Oryzias latipes: one gene and its partner. The protein of the gene in region 2 purifies or fractionates together with the protein of the main gene of each other region. This does not show direct contact. Links are inferred from orthologs where the notes say so. Each region holds a gene or a part of one and is shown on either strand. Other genes may lie near its edges.

Region 1 (9,209 bases), on a different chromosome or scaffold from region 2:
CTTCTAGTAACGGATGTGATGAGGATGCTAGAGCTTTGGCTGTAGACGTTTGGGACCGTCTGTGCCTTACACACACACACAGAGTTCACCAGCAGTTCTGTCTAACACAGCTTTGAACGCTCACCAAACTATATTTGCAGTAAACGAAAGAAAGGCTATGAAGACGACGGCCATGTAGCAAAAGAGGCACGACTAGAAGAGGTGGGGCCCGTTTTTTGTGCAATGAAATATGCATCAAGCCCAAAAAAAAGGGATTTTTCGTGTCCTCTAAAACTTTTTAACCTTTGCTTCATTGCAGGAATGGACTGATGAAGATCTCTTATGAGGATTACGCATCTGTGGCATCAAGTATTCACATTATTTTCTAACCTGATTCTATTACAAATGCAGTTTGAGTTTGTTTGTTGGTCCTTTTTTTGCACAAAGAATAAAGTTTTTCTTAATCGTTTATGAATTGTGTTCTTTAAAACGTAGCCGCACAACACAGTTGCCATACATTCCTCTGCGTTTGTTGAGGGGACAATAAATGAGCCCATAAATCTACTTTACAAAAACAGTTTAATAAGTGCATGCAAGTCTATTACAGTCTGTACTCAAATCTGTAAACACTTATTTTACTTGGTTTCTCTGATTATGAGTCCTGTCAGAGAAAAAAAAAATCACCAGCTGATACAATGAAGTAGAGAAAACCAAAACATTGCATCTAACTTGTATACTCATGATCCCAGCAAGAGAATTTATTCATATAAAATAACCATATTTCTCTGAAAGAATGTGTTCCAATCTAGAACACAAAAGAACAGAAGCTTTTCTTTTCTCCTCACTTTGCAGATGACATCACAACCTTTAAAATGAATGGCTCTCTAATTACAGTATAAAAAGCATCAATGCTAAGAATCCAGTTACCATCAAATAGGACTGAGAGAAGGGCTTTCTCTGTCGCTTTTCTCAAACTGAGAGAGTCAGGAGGCTCTGCTCCGGACAGCTGTGCTGACAAAACGCAGAGGAAACGAAGACGCCTTAATAGTTTACCTCTTCATGAAGGGAAGTAAATTGACAAAGTTAGAAGTCCACGCAGGAAAATATCTTGAACATAAAAGTGCTGTCACTGATGGACACTTGTTGTTTATTTGTTTTCGAGTACTGCACTGCTTGTTATCAACTGCTGATGTTGCATAGCTTTTTTGTGTTGAACGAGACATGATGATTGGTGGGGATGGGCGGGTCGGTCATGATGGAGGACTGGTGGATGGGTTGCCATGGTGATGAAGGTTGGGCATGCTAGGTCTCTGGGCTGCACTCCGGGCGACGTGGGTAGATGTTATGAGGAGGAATGCAGTACTACCTGTTACTGTTGGACATGGCATACTGAGCTTGCTTCTGCTGGAGGAGCTCTGTGATGGCCAGCAGCTTTTTCAACACATGCTGAGGAGACGAGATGGGAGTTAAAAAGGTGGGAAAAAGAGAACAAATACCCCCCCCCCAAAAAAAATCAACATTCAGAAGGTTTGACTCTGACCTGCTGGGCTCCCCTCTCATTACTTAGGGTGCGGAGCTCGTCCGAGTGTGCGACACAGACCTCGTGCAGCGCAGCCAGGTCTCGGGGCAGGTCTGTCCTAAAGTGCTCTGTTGTCTCTGGGAGTTCAGGAACGTTCTATAAACAGAAGGGATGTTTGCTGTATTAAATGTTGATCCGGCTAAGGCAGGAGTCTGCAACCAAATATGGCTCTTTTAGCCCTCTGTGGCTTTTAACCCTTGTGCTATCTTAGATGACCCCACCCTTACATTGACGTGTTCTCCCTACCATGACAAAGGTGGATAAAGGTGGAAAGATTTCATGTAATCCATCGACACCAGTGAAGATCACAAATCATTGAAGAAAAAAAAGGTTCAGCGCACTGAAATGCCTAGGATAGCACAAGGGTAAAGAAAAGGCTAATTATTTGAATAAATAATGGGCTTGCAGTTTTAATGCATTTGCTTTTTGTCATTTGTTTAGATTTTTAACATACCAAATAACTGAACAAAATAGTTTTAAGTGCATATTCTTATCTCCTGCTGTACAAAAATGTCTAGTTGCTGTTCAGAGGCAAAGTCCCCATATATATTTAAATGTATAGATTTAAAAAAAAGAGTCTACACCAAAGCTGTCATATTTATATTTGATAGCAAAAGTAGAAAAAGTCTAAATTAATAATAATAACCAAAGTTATAATAATAAAAGACACCAAGATTTTTCTCTCAAGTAAATCTGCTGCAGCAGGATCCTATTTGACACAGAGTGTATTTTATTTTGAAAGGGACTATTCTGTCAAAAATTAGTTAAAATTGTTGTATATAGAAAAACACAACACTGATATAATTCAATTTTAGTAAATCTTTAAAAGCCAAATTTTAAAAATGACACTTAACACTAAGCCAAAGAAAGTGTTTTTTTTTTTAAACGGTTGAATTTTGGCTCTTGTCGTGTTTTGATCAATGAGAAACTGGACCAAATGGCTCTTGTAGCATTAAAGGTAGCTGAGCCCACTCTAAGGTTATCTTTAAACCTGGATTCACTTTTAGTCAGCAACAGATTGAAGCAGGGCTCCAGACTGCGACCAATTGGTCGCATTTTGCGACCAAAAATTGAGAGTGTGCGACTGAATTTTACATCCAGTCGCACATGTGCGACCAGTAAATTTGCCTCCCCCACCCTCCGTATTTTTTATACATTAAACATGGAAGGGGCACGTCAATGATCAATAATCAATGAGACGCGAGCGCACACGCACAAACTCGCACACATACTCATGAGACGCGAGCGCACACACACACTCGCATACATACTCATGAAACGCGAGCACACACTCGCGTGACGCCTGTCTGTCAGGCGGCCACTGCGTGTGAGAAGAACAGGGAAAGCCACTGTAAGTGGCTAAATGCGTGGAGGGGGAGGGGCCTAGAGATAATCGAGCGCGCGTAAACATCTGTGGGAAGGAAACGGAGACAAATATCATCACAACCTGATATGTGCGTCTGAGCTATGAGTAAGCGAACTATTGATTCGTGCTTCCGACCTGCAGCTAGTGTACCAGTGCCAGAGTGTACAGCAGGGGTCTCAAACTCGTGAATTAACCACGGCTGTCATGCACGGCTGTAACGGCATGACACCGCTCCCGCGGGAGATGGTCAGCTGAGGAGAATAAATGTCCCACACGTACATGCGTGACAGCCAACGGGGCTCTAACATTAAACACGTGTGAGCGACAACACGGTTTAGTCTTAGACACATTTAAAACATGTGGGGAAAATGTAACGATAGACGTGTTTAAGATGAACCAGCGCCGTGCCTGTGGCGGGGGGGGGGGGGGGGGTGGGGTTAAGGCGAAGCTGCAGCGAGACTTAAGGAGAACAGGAAGTTGTAGTCCTTAACATTCAATTTAGTTTTAATATGCCTCTTCCCCTGAGTATGATCTGTGATTTGTGATATATATTTTATAATTATTTTAATATTTTGTAATTTATGTAGCCTATTTTCAATCAGTTGGCATATTAAATTATTTTAATTGATCACTGAACTACAAAAACCCATCAGGACACATGTCCCATAATGCATTGTTTTGTAGTCTGTAGGGCAGCTTTCAGTCAGTTCAGTACTAAATTTCCAGCTGTGTTCGTGTAGGTTGGGGCCTTGCTACCACCCCTTTCTGGTGATATTTTTGTTTTGATTGACAGGTGATGTTGGAGCAAAAACAAAAATATACATCTCACACCAGGTGATCTGCGCAGCGTTGCGTCCATCTGGGTGATCTCAAACACGCTTATTGTGCATCTTGGCTGCACTTATTTGGTGTCGCCAACATGAATTTCCATCCTCTAATGTTTACATACATTTAAGTGTTTTTTGTAACTGTGAAATGACCGAAAGGTTACTTTGTTACTAAAAACTTCTGAATGTATGGTATTTTGTTTACTATTTGTACTGTCATGACAGCGATGGTACTGTCAGTTTACCTTCTTGTTGCATCTTCAAAAGTGCAGATTAAAATGTGACACTGAATTTGGAACAGCTAATTGTAATTTATGCATCTATTATTAAAGTATTTATCAGTAATACAGTGGAAATTAGTAGATTTGGTTAGAATGTTGATTTACGGTATGCGCCCCTAAATTTTCTGGTTGTGCCCCTAAAATTTTCAGTTAGGGGCCACAGTGCTCCTAGTGAAAATAGTTAGTCTGGAGCCCTGTGAAGGCTCTAATTATAAAATGAAAAACCAAAATAAAACAATTTGACTTACCCCCAACTCATCCAGAAACATGATCATCCGTTGCTTATTGCATTTGATGAAAGGGTTCACACCCTCCATGTAGGGTTCCTGTAAAAAAAAACAATTAACAGAAAAACAGTTTATTTGACATAATTATGATGCTGAGACCTACAGTTTCTCGGTTTGTACCTTAGCACCAAACTCAACAAGGTTTGCCAGATTCTGGACAGACTTGGCCACCAGTGTGAGTGTCCGGGCTGCTGTTGATGATGGAGGGTCTGCAGACAAGCATCAGAAAGTGAAAACAATGAAACCTGCTTCATGTGGCAGGCAGAACCTTGTGGTTTTATATAGATACCCACCGTCAATGATGTTGAACATCCGGGGGTTGAGGATGGCAGGGCAGATCAGTCTTAGAAAGACAAAACCACTAGAAGAAAAGAAAAAAAAGGCAACATCATGAGGTTAACCGCGGTGCAACAGCAGATTCTAGAGACAAGTGATAGTAAAAAAACAACACCACTAAAGCCTGTATACAGACCGTCAGTGACAACAATTAGAGTGTTGGCATACCTTCCAACAGTCAGCATTCACACAAGTTCATCCCAATGCTGCAAAATGTGAAAGTATAAATGCAATGGCACCCCCACCACCAAAAGGCGAAATTCCTGAATCAGTGAGGCTCAAGAAACACTTGAAGTGTCACAAGTTTATACTATAGTGGGCCCTCAATATTCTGAGGTTCACCTATAGCAGCCTTGCTGTTTCACCTATTTCTTTCAGTGTGTTTGCTCTTTTTTTGGTGGATTTTACCTTTAGTGTTAGTTTGTTTTTAGAGCTTAACCCCCGCAATAAACTATGGGCCGCAGTAATCAATATAGTTGACAAAGAAAGAAAAGGATTCATAGTAGACTTGAGTGTAACTGAAAGATTTAGCATCAGAAGCTAGTACTGCATTAACCTGAATCTATCGGGTTTGGAACCAACTGTTTTCCATTTGACTAAAAATACTACAGGAATAGTGAAAAAGTGTACTTTTACCTCACAACCCTCGTCCTCATGGTGGTGTTCGGCCACTTTCGTTGCACAGATTTCTGCAGGCAGCCGTAGATGAAACGCAAAGTACTGTAGGAGAGAGCAAAAAAAACACCTTTGACCTTAAATGGCCATTACAAGTCCCAAACAAACATGGAATTTCATTGGCTTACGGTGGCAGGATCTCAGCAGCCAGGAAGATCTTTTCTACCAGTTCTGACAGGATGTTGAGGAGATGAGCAAGGTTCAGGTTCACATCATCATTCTTTTCCAGTTTTGAGGGATTCAACTGAAATTGCAGGGACAGAGTAAAACAGACGTGTTAACTATTTTTGGGGCAAATACCTTCTTACTTTTGGGCTAGAGTTTGTAGATTTATGCTTAAGGAAATAATTGAAGTTAATCAGTGGATGCAGTCTATATGTTAGTTGCTTGGGCAGCAGATTGAAAGCCTCACACCTCACAGGACTGTTTACTCTCCATGATCTTGAGGATGGTATCTTTGAGAGCGTGGAGGACAAAGGGCGTGGCCGTAGCCTTCATGTATTGCTCCATCAGCGTGCTGGCCAGTGTTGTTGCTCTGAACAATGTGGTGGCCTCATCTGATGGTGATACACAAGCAGAGCTCGACTCACTCAGAATTAAAAGATACAACTTTTAGAAAGGATGCAGCAGCTATCAAAACAATCTTTTTTTATTAATAGCTAAACTCTGGAGAAAGGCAATAAAGGAACATGTTGGGATAGTATTGTTTGTTTCCAGAAAGCTTTATTGATATCGTTTTCTTAGCAGCAATAGAAAAACACAGGGAAGAGTTCTGAAAATGATGTGTGCTGACAGATACTCAATTTCCTTCCACATAAAAAGAAATACAACAATACCTCAAGGAAGAAAGTGTTGGATTTTTGTTCCACCTTTAACCTCCACCTTGTTTTGTAAACAATGTTCTGTGTCCAACAGAACCCAGATGGAAGCAGTGATGCTAAAATGATCATCCAAAAGAAACCGTCCCTGCATGTCTTACCTTCCATGTTAATCTCTCTGTCATTCAGCGTCCTGAGTAAAGGGGCCTCAGCTTTCTCATGTCTGAAGATCCGCAGGAGGAGGCTTGCCAGTAAGCTGCGGTCCTGACCACACACGTGTGCCAAAGCATAGATGACGTGGAAGTCTTTCTGTAAGATCATCTGCATAAAACCAAACAATACACTGTGAGATCCCTGACGGTAGAGGCAGAAATCTCAGAACAGGTCTTGATTTGAACGGGCCTCCTTGAGGTCGCTGTACTCCTCTTCCGGCATGATTTTCTCCACAGAGTAGCGGGCGCGTACACGCAGGGAGCCCGGCTCGATGCCTTTTAGGGGAATGTGGGAGCTGAGGGGGAACCATTCGTCAATCATCTGGCCCTTCTGCAGACGGTTTAGCTGGCAGCGCATAAATACTGCAGGACAGACAAAAAAACTGAATTATTGAGGGGGAACAAAGAACGGTGTGAAAACTCGATTTGAAATGTACTCACAGATGTCTATTTCTTTGCTCTTCTTTGTTTTGTTGCTCAGGCTAATTTCAAATCTATTGATTTCACCAGACAAATCACTGGAACAACAGAAACACATTTCATTAGATTTGTGCTCAAACAGATAATGTCAGTTCAAGACATGACAGGTTTCAGAGAATTCAAAGTACCTCACTTCGCTGGGAAACAAAGACAAGAACAACACCTACTCAAAAATGAATTCCTCAGTGAAGACGGGATTCTGGCCCTCCCTCGGGTGCGTCTTAGCAACCTGGACGTTGTTCAAGTAGATGTTACAGTAGGGGTTGGTGAAATGCTTCACTGGTAGCTTGTGGGCCTCCTCCACATACAACACCAGGCTGCTCACCTACAAATAAGACAGCATTGAAATAGACAAAACATATTTTAAAAAAGGATGATGAAGTGTCAATCCACATCCTTAAACATTAAATTAAACATTTTGATTTCAAACATTTCATTACAATCATGACATTGATATGCTTAGCTATAATTGTTCTATAGTTCAGTCCATGAATTGGGTTGTCAATTAGTGATTTTCCTTGTAAGTACAATTCTCGTGCATGCAAACAGGAATGTAGATAGCTGGTAGCTCGACATTCATTCATTACCGTAGTTAAAATCTAACCAATGAGAATGCAGTGTATGGCATTTGGTTTATTTTGAGCTTTATTAAACTGTTGTGAGCATCCAGAGACAGGAATTTCCAAACAGATTTTTTTAGCTACGTGGAGTTGGGAAAAAAGGCAGGTTTGGCAGCAGCATGCTGCTCAGTCAGAGCCAACCCCCCCCTGGACCAGAACCATTTTAAAGTTTTGCATTTAACCAGGTCACAGGGAACACCAAGCAGACTCTTGACATACGTACCTGTCTGAGCCTTTTATTGGAGGTGTTTACAGTGGTTTTTCTTAAGTTGGTACAGAAAGTCTGAAGGCACTTCATCCAATCCTGCAAAGACACACGTATTTAAAGTTCTTCAAAAGACCCCCAAAAGATTCGGGTTTCTGCCACATTTCTAACGGAGCCTAAGAATAACAAGAAAAGGTCCAACAGAAAAAAAAGAGGCGACAGAACTCTGAATGAACATGTGATCCAGGAAACAAAGGTTTGATTCCTGTACAGTGCCACTCATTGAAATTAAAATATCCCCTGAATAAATACATCTTAAAAAACAGGTTTAATTGAAGCCCACATTGACGCCACAAGGGCAGTTCTATTCCCCACCAAGCATGTTTAGGCTTGTTATAAGGAAGACAGAGGGGGATATTGGGTAATTCATCAGAATTAGATTGCCTTTAACCTTTTCAGACTCTTTGAGGTCACATAGCAAATATGCAAACAATGTATTGCCATTCTGAAATATATTACAACTATATTTTAATGTCAGAATAATAAATGTAGTTTAAAAATGCCTTTTTTAGAATTGAAATTGAAATGTTTTTAAGTATACAGCTTACAGCAAACTGTAAATGAAGATTAATTGAACAAAGGCTGACAGTTTTTTTTTTTGTTTTGTTTTTTTTTAATCAGCAAGTCAACAAATGAGTGAAAGAAAACTGCAGTCAGGTAAAAATAACCACTGCAGTGGTAACATTCTAAAAGCTGATGCACAAAAAAGAGAAATCAGTCTCATTACCTGTGCCTGTTCTGGAGTTTCTCCTGCAAAGTAAAATATGTACTGCTCCTCACTAAAATGCTGGACAACAATCTGGAAACAGTTTGGCCTGAAAAGTTCAAACAAAACAAAAGAATAAAGGGTATTAGGTTCATATGTGTCAAATGCTAAAAGAATTTTCTTCAGTGTGGTGTCCATGAAGCTGCTGTCACTCAAAATGCAAAGATGAGTGGACTTTACAGCCAATGTTTGATGTCCCACCTGCCAAACAGACTGTCATGCACACAATACACGGAGCACACACTTAGGTCAATCAGCCCTTTGGGTTTGGTGGCTCTCTTCTCACTTTCGAAATAGATGAGCTGTGCATCGTTACCTTCCAGGATGAAGTAAAGGTTCTTCCACCTTTTGCCTTTGCCTGAAGATGAAGGGGGGAATTTAGGGTTCTGACTGACGTGAACAAAATGAGAAAATTCTGATAAACACTGTCTGGCTAAATAAATAAATGAAGAAAAATCTCCACAGAGATTGTATTAAGCAGAAAGGCAGAAGCCCCCCATTGAAAAAGTTTTATAGTGATTAATATGTCTGCTAAACATTAGGTCAACTGACAACATCAATTAAATAAATGCCAAGGTCTTTCCATTAACGGAGTTTTTTTTTTCCTGATGGCTTATTCCAAGATGAGATTGCTAGGATTCAATAATAGCTACGGGATGTCCAACAAAATTAATGATTTATGTTGGCCAGGCAGTGTAAATCATCAAAGCCCAGAGGC
Region 2 (9,209 bases):
ACAATGAAAGAGTCCATTTAAGAGGTCTTCTACATCAGAAACAGCTCCACTCTTGTTGTTGTACAAAATACAGGTTCAGGTCAACCTGAATGTACATGAAAAAAAATGAACAGACAGGAAGTCTTTAAAGTCCCACTCTGTTTAAAATCTGTTTTTGATGTTTTAACACGTTCTTGTGGCTTTTTTTCTCATGATGGCGGTCACAAATAAAGAAAATTAAGCTTAAAATTACATTTCTGAGGTATTTCTGTAGTTAAATCATGAAGCCGGAGCAGACGCAAATACGCAGTTGGTAAAAAAGCTTATTTGTGATGTTGAAAATACACTTGGCGGGCCACAAGCTCCCTGCTTCGCCATGTTGAGGGGAAGGGGGGTTGGGGTTGCTTTGTGCCAACAGTCCTGTCTACAACTTCGAAGGAACTGTTGTGCTCTGCAGAAAATGACACAGATGTGTAGAAAATGACACAGATTTTTTTATTTTGGTCAAAAACAACATAATCATAATGAAAAGACCACTGGGAACGCTTTTACAAAAGATCAAAAGTTAATAAAAATGGGTCTTTAATGGCAAACTACAGAATATTCACCTTCAAAATAAAATTCCATGTTCACTTCAAGCTAACCTCAAAAGTTAGCTGTAAGGTCAGTGCATCATCAGACTACGCTTCTCAAAAGATGAACTACAAGTGGAGTAAAAAGAATTGGTTAAAGCTTCATTCTACAGCTGTGTGCCCAGGCCTTTGCTTGTTGTTCCTCAGAGGTGAACAAACAGAATCAGTCACAATTAAAGTGTTGTTTTCTGGGTCGTTTTGGTGCCATTGGTGACAACAACAAAAAAACCAAAAGTTTAAAGTTGTCTCACTGTTTTCCTCTCTAACCAGATGACATTTAATTCATGTCCTCATTAATAATGTCTGCCTTTATCGTTGGCTGGAAATAAGCTTCAAGCCTCACTTTGCTTTGGTCAACGGCAGAAATGACACAGATAAGCAAAAGAAGCGGCTTTCTTGTTTTGCCACTAATGTGCTCTTCGCTCTGGCTCCACCTCTCTGAGCTTTTCTTTGTCTCTCAGGTCGCACTCTTGGATCAGGAGCGTTTGGCAGGGTGGTCGAGGCAACCGCATACGGTCTCACGCACTCCCAGTCCAGCACAAAGGTGGCAGTGAAAATGCTGAAATGTAAGCATAAAAACGCAAGACAAGTCCATGTGCGTGATTTACGTGAACAACCAGAGACCCCTGCATGGCTGTCAAAAAAATCTTGACAGCGGGGTCGTATCCCTGCAACCTCAGGCAGAGCTGCGGCCCGCTGAGCTTTAGTTTGACTGCCAGGCCAATTCAAGCTGCTGACCACAGATCATTGAGCAATTTGGCAATAACAGTGTGTCCTGCTCTCACTTCTACTGTTCTCATTTCATCTACTATACCCTTCTTTGTGCAGCCACTGCTAGGAGGAGTGAGACTCAGGCTCTCATGTCAGAACTGAAGATCATGAGCCACCTTGGTCCTCATCTCAACATTGTCAACTTGCTCGGAGCTTGTACCAAACATGGTAAGAATCATAGCAAGCCCTATTTTTGCAATGAAATCACAGCCATTTAGAGATTTCTAGAAGAGTTTAATCATAGAAAAGTGTGTTTCTGAGTTAGTTCTTTAAGATAAGGCTATCATTTGATCTGTACAGAGGCTACACTGGGGAGGATTATATTCATGATAAGGAGCTTGAATCTTGTTTGCTAGAGCTGGATAATATCATAACCAACAGTTATGGGTTCTTGTGGAAGATAAAATTAATAATGTTTTAGTAACTAAAAACTGTCATGCTGAGGTTGTACACGCTGTGCTTTTCGCATTTATCAGCCGCATTACTTTCCTCGGGCTCCATTTTATTTTTAAGTAAATAGACACCCCTTCCCATTTTTTCTGTTCATGTTTAAGTTTGGGTTCCTCATTCTTTGAGAGGTTTGGACAGCCTCTCCTTTGTCCAAATACTTTAATATAGTATTGCCTCAATCTTTTACTGTTGAATTTTTAAGTTTTAAAACTTTTGGCGGCAGAAAATAATTCGAAAAACCCGTCAATAATAAATTGTAATTCAATAAGAGCTCTTGTATCTCATAAAATGGTGGAAATTTTGTTTTTGTTTAGAACAAATGTTTATTTTGTAACATATAGTATAACTGCTTTCTAATAGGGATTCCACAAACATACTATTTGATCATAACAAATGTATTTGATAAGCTACAAAATATTCACCAAAATAAAAGTCTAATTTGACCTCCGTTCTGTTTGCTGTTTGCTCCAAGTGCTACATGGTCCATCAACAGGCTGAAGATTTGTGGGTAAAATAAAAGCTAATCAATAAATAAAAATATTTATACTTCTGGCAAAAGATTATTTATTTTTACCGTTAATTAACAGTTAATGGTTGCTGTTAATTTACCCATTTTAATTGGAAATGACAAAAAGTTATAATACAATTAACTGCAGAGAAGAATCTCAGCTTTATTTTTATTTGAACAAAAAGTGACATGCCCAGAATTTTCCATGCAGTTTCATATTATGTCCTCATTATAAATAGCATTGCTAATAGGCAATTTTCTGCTCTTTTTCATAAATCTGTGTATGTTCTTTGTCACCACATGCAGGCCCTCTCTATCTGGTGACCGAGTACTGTCGCTATGGTGATTTGGTGGATTACCTGCACAGGAACAAACACACCTTCCTGCAGTACTACGCCGAGAAGAACCAGTACGACGACTGCCTCATTTCTAGAGGAAGCACCCCTCTCAGTCAGAGAAAAGGGTAAGGGGGGCAGAAAAACATATGAGATGTTTTATAAAACAGACTTTTTCCTTGGAATCCTGTCTCATTCCAAGAAACTGCTGCAGATGGATTTATGAAGTAGACAAATGGAGCCTGTTACAGATGTACAGATGTTTCACATGAGGAGGCACTACAATGCATATTTAGATATAGGTCAGTTAAGACTTTTTTTCCTTGCTTTTCTCTCGTCTTCAGCTATGTGTCCTTCGGCAGTGAGAGCGATGGAGGCTACATGGACATGAGCAAAGATGAGCCGTCAATCTACGTGCCCATGCAGGAGCAGATAGACACCATCAAATATGCTGACATCCAGCCTTCTCCATACGAGTCCCCCTACCAGCAGGACCTCTACCAAGATCAAGGTTTGCCCCGGCTGCTGTTAGATTTATGTCTGCTAAGTTAAGACAACTGTTGAATGTTGGTAAGAATCAATTTTCCATTTATGTAGGAGTGAATGAGGATGACAAACAAAGCATGACAAACACAGGAAACAAAGAAAATCAGAGAGATATGTGTGAAAAATAGGATGTGAGGCCACGTACTGCTGCTTTCAGAACTAGAAGTTCTAAACTCAGCTGTTTTTATGGATTAAACACGGATATGTGTGTTTTATTATGCTTTAGCAGAAAAATACAGAATTTTTCCTAGAATGTTGCAAGTTTTTTGGATGAAAAACGTATTCCTTCCTCACCTGTGTGTCTTTTCACCTCATTTTCTCCAGGAAGCACCAGCCTGGACTTAGTGATCAGTGATTGTGCCAGCCTCACCTATGAAGACCTTCTAGGTTTCAGCTATCAGGTGGCAAAGGGGATGGAGTTTCTCGCCTCCAAAAATGTAAGCTATCAAACAATCATCTTTCCGCTTCCGCCACCAACGTATCCCTTTATTTTGTTTTAAACCATTATTTTGAAAAAGTTAGTTTCAAACATGACTTGTATTTATTCGAGGAAAGAGGAAGAATAACTCAATTTACTTTTTTTCCAATGCAGTGCGTCCATCGTGACCTGGCTGCCAGGAACGTGTTGATCTGTGAAGGCAAGCTGGTGAAGATTTGCGACTTTGGCCTGGCCAGAGACATAATGCATGATTCCAATTACATCTCCAAAGGAAGCGTAAGTCGTAATGTAATGTGTGCTACTCTGCCAAAATGAAATGGTTCTCCAGCAAAACAGCATTTTAACAAATAAGATATAAATGGTTATTACACAACAGTCAGAAAGAAGCAAAGTGGAATCTTTTAACCCTCCTGACTGTGAAAAAATGAGGTTCTTTATCATCTAAGCTGCAGTGTATTTCTCTTTCTTTTAGACCTTCCTGCCCCTGAAGTGGATGGCACCAGAAAGCATTTTTCATAATTTGTACACCACCCTGAGTGATGTGTGGTCATACGGCATACTCCTTTGGGAAATTTTCACTCTGGGTGAGTCCGACCACACGTTCATAAAGCGCACACTATTTGTACCCTCAAACAAAGTTTTCATGCATGCAGGGGATTTACACATAGCTTTTAAATAAACTTCCCATTTGATCAATTTTTAAGTGTTGAACTCAAATAATAACAAAAAACAGTGCTCCAAATGTTCCAAGTCCATGTCTGACCAAGAACATACCAGTTAGTTTAAAGACCCAAAATCCTGTTAGCTACAGTCAAGCTTTTACATTTCTCTTGCTCTAGGAAATGTATTTTTTTTCTTTTAATCCACAATAGATCTAAGGAAGCTACCATGAAACAAAGGAGACAGTTTAGTGCATTTCAACCATTAACTCCAGTCATAAAAAAACAAACTTACAATCCAGCCTCTGTAAGTGACAAAGAGTCTCTGTTTGCTTGTTGGAAGTCAGCTTTCATTTGGACTTTTATCATATTTTTCCTATAGATTTACATGTGTATAAAATGTCTTGTTGCATGTGTCCAAATGTTCACCTTTAATAACTAATTATTTTAAATTTTGAATACATTTTTTTTTATATAATGAAAATCCAAGTACTTTTAAAACATACTGGGAAAAGTGGTCATTTCTTTAAACTACACATTTGGGATTGATTATATTTGACAGAAGTCAGACTTTGTAGTTTCAAAAAAGGGTTCCTAAGTTCTGGCATAGCTTAAAACCATTCTTGTTCTTCCTTAGGAGGAACCCCCTACCCAGATTTGCCCATGAACGAACTGTTCTACAACGCACTGAAAAGAGGATACCGCATGGCCAAACCTCCCCATGCTTCAGATGAAGTGTGAGTTTTTGTCAGTTGTTAAACGTAGAACTTTTTATGCCTACAAATTATACCAAAAAAAATTACGTTTGTGACGCAGGTATGAAATCATGAAGAAGTGCTGGGATGAAAAGTTTGAGAAGAGGCCTGAGTTCTCCTTGTTGGTTCACAACGTGGGAAACATGCTGACAGACAGCTATAAGAAGGTATTGAATCCATGCTAATCCACTTAACATCAGTTATTGCTCTAATATTCACTTCTGAATCTCTAACTCTGTTGCTTTACTTTGCTTCTCGTTAAAATGCTTTAAACATAAAAAAGTGCTCAGTTAAAGACCCACTTGTGGCATTTTTCTGATAATGGATTACATGCTGTATATAAAGTAAATTAAGCTTAAAATTGCATTTCTGAGTATTTATGTATTCCACTTGTTGTGAATCAGTGTGTTGTGAATTAAAAGCAGACGCAAAATGCCACTGAAAAAGCTTGTAAGAGGGGCACACAAATAACTTTGGCAAGACTTAAGCTCCCTGCTCTGCTCCTTTCTGATGCATCCAGTCGTAGACAACTAGATCCATGTACATGTTTGTTTTCAGCTGGAATATGGCTTAAATGTACAGCGACTTAACTCTGATTTTGCTCGCCATTTTTTTCCCCGCTGGTAATGTTAGATTGGGGTTGTGAGGGGCTGTTAGCTAGCAGGAGAGAGTATAAAAAGATAGATGATGGGTAGAAGGTAGGCCTTATCCATGCCAAAATTTAGAACCTTTTTTTAAAGCAGTGAGGAGAAAACTGCTTTTGTCAGTTTGAGTGCTTTTTTTGTAACAGTCTGGAGAGTTCCTGATGTACCTGGAGATGTTATAGAAATACAACAAATAAAGTTTTTGTGTCAGTGCACATCTGCTGCAAATGCCTTCCAGAGCTGATATCCCCAAAATGAATGCTGCATTTGAGGTTCTTAATTACTGTTGCGACCCATTTGGCAAAGCTGGAACGAAGACATTTGAGGAGCTGCTTTTATGAGATCAGTGCCTAAAGCTCCTTCCATGTTCACCGCTTTCATCAGGCTGATGGAAACTTAACATGATGCTGTCATTTTAAAATCTCCGCATCTTCATCCTATCAGATCTAAAAATATACAGAATTGTTCTTGTTTTGACCCAATTATATACTTTTTTTAGAATTTAATAATCCACTTCTGCAATCCAATTCTGGGACAGCCTCTTGTTTGTTGGTCCACTCATTTATTTAAAATACAATATCCAAACTATAAGTAGACTATTACTTAACTACTATTAGTTAAGTAATTACTAGTAGTAAACTGCTATAAGTAAAAATAGAGTAAACTTTAGAAGGACTCAGCAGCTTTTGCCACATTATTCTGCTTAGCAAGCATTTCTTCCAAAAACAGAGATACAGCCAAGTGAACGAGAACTTCCTGAAGAGTGACCACCCGGCAGTGGCCCGCACCAAACCCCGCCGGACCTCGCCCTTTCCCGTCGCTGACCCCACATTTGGCTCCCTGTCTCCTGTTGCCTTCTCCTCCTCTCCCGGTCCCACAGCCAACAACCAGAGCCAGAGGCCTGGAGAGCGCAGGCACGAAGCAGACGGGCAGGAAGTCGTAACTTCATATAATGAGTACATCATTCCCATCCCGGACCCCAAACCAGAGGAAGCTTTCGGCAGCATGCCGTCAGAAAGCCCTGAAAGGTACCGGACCGCTGCAAACACTCTGCAGATGTGTGTCAAAAACATGGGGCTGCAGGGGCGATGAAAATGTGTTTGCTTTTGTCTGCCACACACCCACTCATCCAGATGTTGAACTGACACAGTAGTTTATTATAAAAGCTTCATAGAGATGTATTTTTATAACTTAAATAAACACAGGACCAGGCAGGGACTTAAATCTACAAAAACTGCTTTTTTTTAAACACAGTAGACCAAACTTCATTTTTGTGTTTGTTTTGTTCACTAAGCCTTTCTAACCCCAAACCTTGCTTCCTTGTTTGAGGTCGGGTGGGATTTGAAGCCAAAACTCATGTTTTGAGCTCAATTGGTTCGTTTTCTGATGAATGGCCACTGTGACGCCTCAGAACTGCACTTTAGTAAATCACTACAATAAGACCTCCCACATTGATCATAATAATTCTAAATTTGCATCAACAATTTTACACAAAAGTCATTGAGAAAACATGTTTATGTAACAAAATGTTCTTTGAAAATGGTTTAAGTTAAAAGAAGAGCTAAAATAAATTATTTGGATACTGACAAAGAGGACAGCCATGTCCAAGAGCCGGAATCTTAATAATTAGTTTACTTGTGACAAGATTGTTTGCAACAGTGCTGGTCAGCTGATCTGATTGCTTTCAGATGTTAAGTAAGGCCTGCTCTGCCTGCTAAGAAAAGACAGTTTTTATGTTGGTAAATAGAAAAAAAAGAAAAGGCATCAAAGCAATGTTGCAGTAAATCTATGTGCTTCATCACATCCTAATCTGTCTTTTTGCCGTCAGCTCTCTGGCTGCAGAGGAAGAGGAGACTGACTCCATGTCGCAGGACACAGCTGAGACTCTTCCAGAGGATGAGCGCCTGGAGGACACCAGCGAAAGGGATGCTTTGCTGGGCTCCTCGGCGACCCCCGAGGTAGAAGACAGCTTCCTGTAGCCGTGCGTTCAAACCCAGAGACAACACAGCGCCTTTATTTTTCCCTTTTTCTTCACGGGAGGAAAAAAAACCTCAAATGTAGCAGAACTGAGAGGAAGAAGGAAATGTCTGTAGATCTGTGTAGCACTAAAAGAGGCATCTCTTCAAGTTAGGTACAGTTACTTAGTACGGTGGCACCTTGCTGACAGCTCAATACTGAATAAACATGGCACTCTCACCTACCTATAATGTTAGCCTAAACAGAATAGAGATTTTTCAGTGTACATTTAATTTTAAACCTTTGCCACATTATTAAAAAAAAGCCTATTCTTTTTATATTTTAAGATGAAATTTAGCTTCCAAATGATGCAAATAACTTTTTAGGTGAGCAATTATTTTATTTTGTATTTTTTTAACAGGAACAGAACAAAACATTCAAAACACTTTTTTTTCTAAATTTAATTACCACAGATTGCATTTTTAAATCATTGTTTAGGGTCAGTTTTTGGGTTTTCTCTCCTGGGTACTATCAGCAAATTTACTCTCTGTGTCGAATGTTTGTAAAATATCATGCATAGGACTTGAAGTACAGATTTATTTCCCTGTGCACTGTTTTAAAGTGAGATGTACTTTTTATGTAGCTCCACAAACTACAGTGTTTCCATATGTGAACTTTGTATAGCATCTTGCAATGGGGTTGTCTTTTGTGTAGAAATAATTCCTAGTTGTGTGCCAGTTGCACTTTATATAGAAAAAAAAAATGGACACACGGTATGTTAAAGAAATATAAGTTCCACTCTGAAATATAGAGCCACTACAGCATGACTGTGACTGTTACCATGTCCAGGATATCCTTTGTGAGAAAAGGTGACTCTCAATCAATGCAGCATATCACTGCCTTAGCACAAGATGGCACACAAGAGTGCCTTTGTATTGACTTTTGACTTGCAGCTACACAAAGTATGAAGGGCTACCAGACAGCTGTGCACATGTTATGCTCGTAGTCGTCCTTTGCCTTGGGTAACATACACATTAGTGCTTTCATCACCTGAAACTACACCTTTTCATTTCTGCTGAACCTTCAAAATTCACCGCACGATGTCATCGTCACAAGCTACGGTACCAAAGCTCTTTTTAACGTTTACAAATGTATTTTTGTATTTGTCGTTTTATAAATGTGTCAATAAATGCGTACTATCAACAATTCCTTGTGGAAAATTGAATTCTTCATGACTCCTAAATTAACTTTTTCTGCAGCAACACCATGTCTCCCGGCTCTAAAAACTCATGAAGCTAAATATTTCTTAATGATATTCACTCTCTAACACAGTTAAGGTCTTGTCCACAAATTCTGTCTGAATCCAATTAGAATCTTTTTTTTAAAGTTTGGTTATGCAGTGTACAAGGATCTGTTTGTCTTCATTTATTTTGAACATGTTAAAATATAGGACAAAAACTCCTTACACTTAATAAATACTGACATAAAAATTCATTTTAAAGTATCTGGTTTTTAAGAACTCCCAACAACTCTCA

What was found.
Region 1: the proteins of pdgfrb (region 2) and rasa1 purify together in Homo sapiens (co-immunoprecipitation; 5 studies listed by BioGRID and IntAct, with this or other methods). This does not show direct contact. The link is inferred for Oryzias latipes from reciprocal best matches to the Homo sapiens genes PDGFRB and RASA1.

The regions. Positions count from the first base shown.
Region 1 is NC_019867.2:14,746,395-14,755,603, reverse strand, and holds part of rasa1 (ras GTPase-activating protein 1), read right to left. Parts: intron 8,850-9,209; coding exon 8,693-8,849; intron 8,541-8,692; coding exon 8,453-8,540; intron 7,765-8,452; coding exon 7,684-7,764; intron 7,166-7,683; coding exon 7,008-7,165; intron 6,879-7,007; coding exon 6,802-6,878; intron 6,724-6,801; coding exon 6,551-6,723; intron 6,470-6,550; coding exon 6,310-6,469; intron 5,888-6,309; coding exon 5,745-5,887; intron 5,575-5,744; coding exon 5,459-5,574; intron 5,376-5,458; coding exon 5,292-5,375; intron 4,681-5,291; coding exon 4,613-4,680; intron 4,529-4,612; coding exon 4,440-4,528; intron 4,359-4,439; coding exon 4,281-4,358; intron 1,655-4,280; coding exon 1,520-1,654; intron 1,426-1,519; coding exon 1,346-1,425; intron 449-1,345; exon of another isoform or gene 326-448; coding exon of another isoform or gene 299-325; intron 202-298; coding exon of another isoform or gene 141-201; intron 1-140. Other genes in the region: ccnh (cyclin-H), read left to right, coding at 141-201, 299-325. UniProt on the Homo sapiens protein: Inhibitory regulator of the Ras-cyclic AMP pathway. Stimulates the GTPase of normal but not oncogenic Ras p21; this stimulation may be further increased in the presence of NCK1.
Region 2 is NC_019868.2:16,274,373-16,283,581, forward strand, and holds the end of pdgfrb (platelet-derived growth factor receptor beta), read left to right. Parts: intron 1-1,072; coding exon 1,073-1,177; intron 1,178-1,439; coding exon 1,440-1,550; intron 1,551-2,646; coding exon 2,647-2,803; intron 2,804-3,019; coding exon 3,020-3,186; intron 3,187-3,545; coding exon 3,546-3,658; intron 3,659-3,813; coding exon 3,814-3,936; intron 3,937-4,132; coding exon 4,133-4,244; intron 4,245-4,956; coding exon 4,957-5,056; intron 5,057-5,135; coding exon 5,136-5,241; intron 5,242-6,447; coding exon 6,448-6,746; intron 6,747-7,546; coding exon 7,547-7,697; 3' UTR 7,698-8,880; downstream 8,881-9,209. UniProt on the Homo sapiens protein: Tyrosine-protein kinase that acts as a cell-surface receptor for homodimeric PDGFB and PDGFD and for heterodimers formed by PDGFA and PDGFB, and plays an essential role in the regulation of embryonic development, cell proliferation, survival, differentiation, chemotaxis and migration.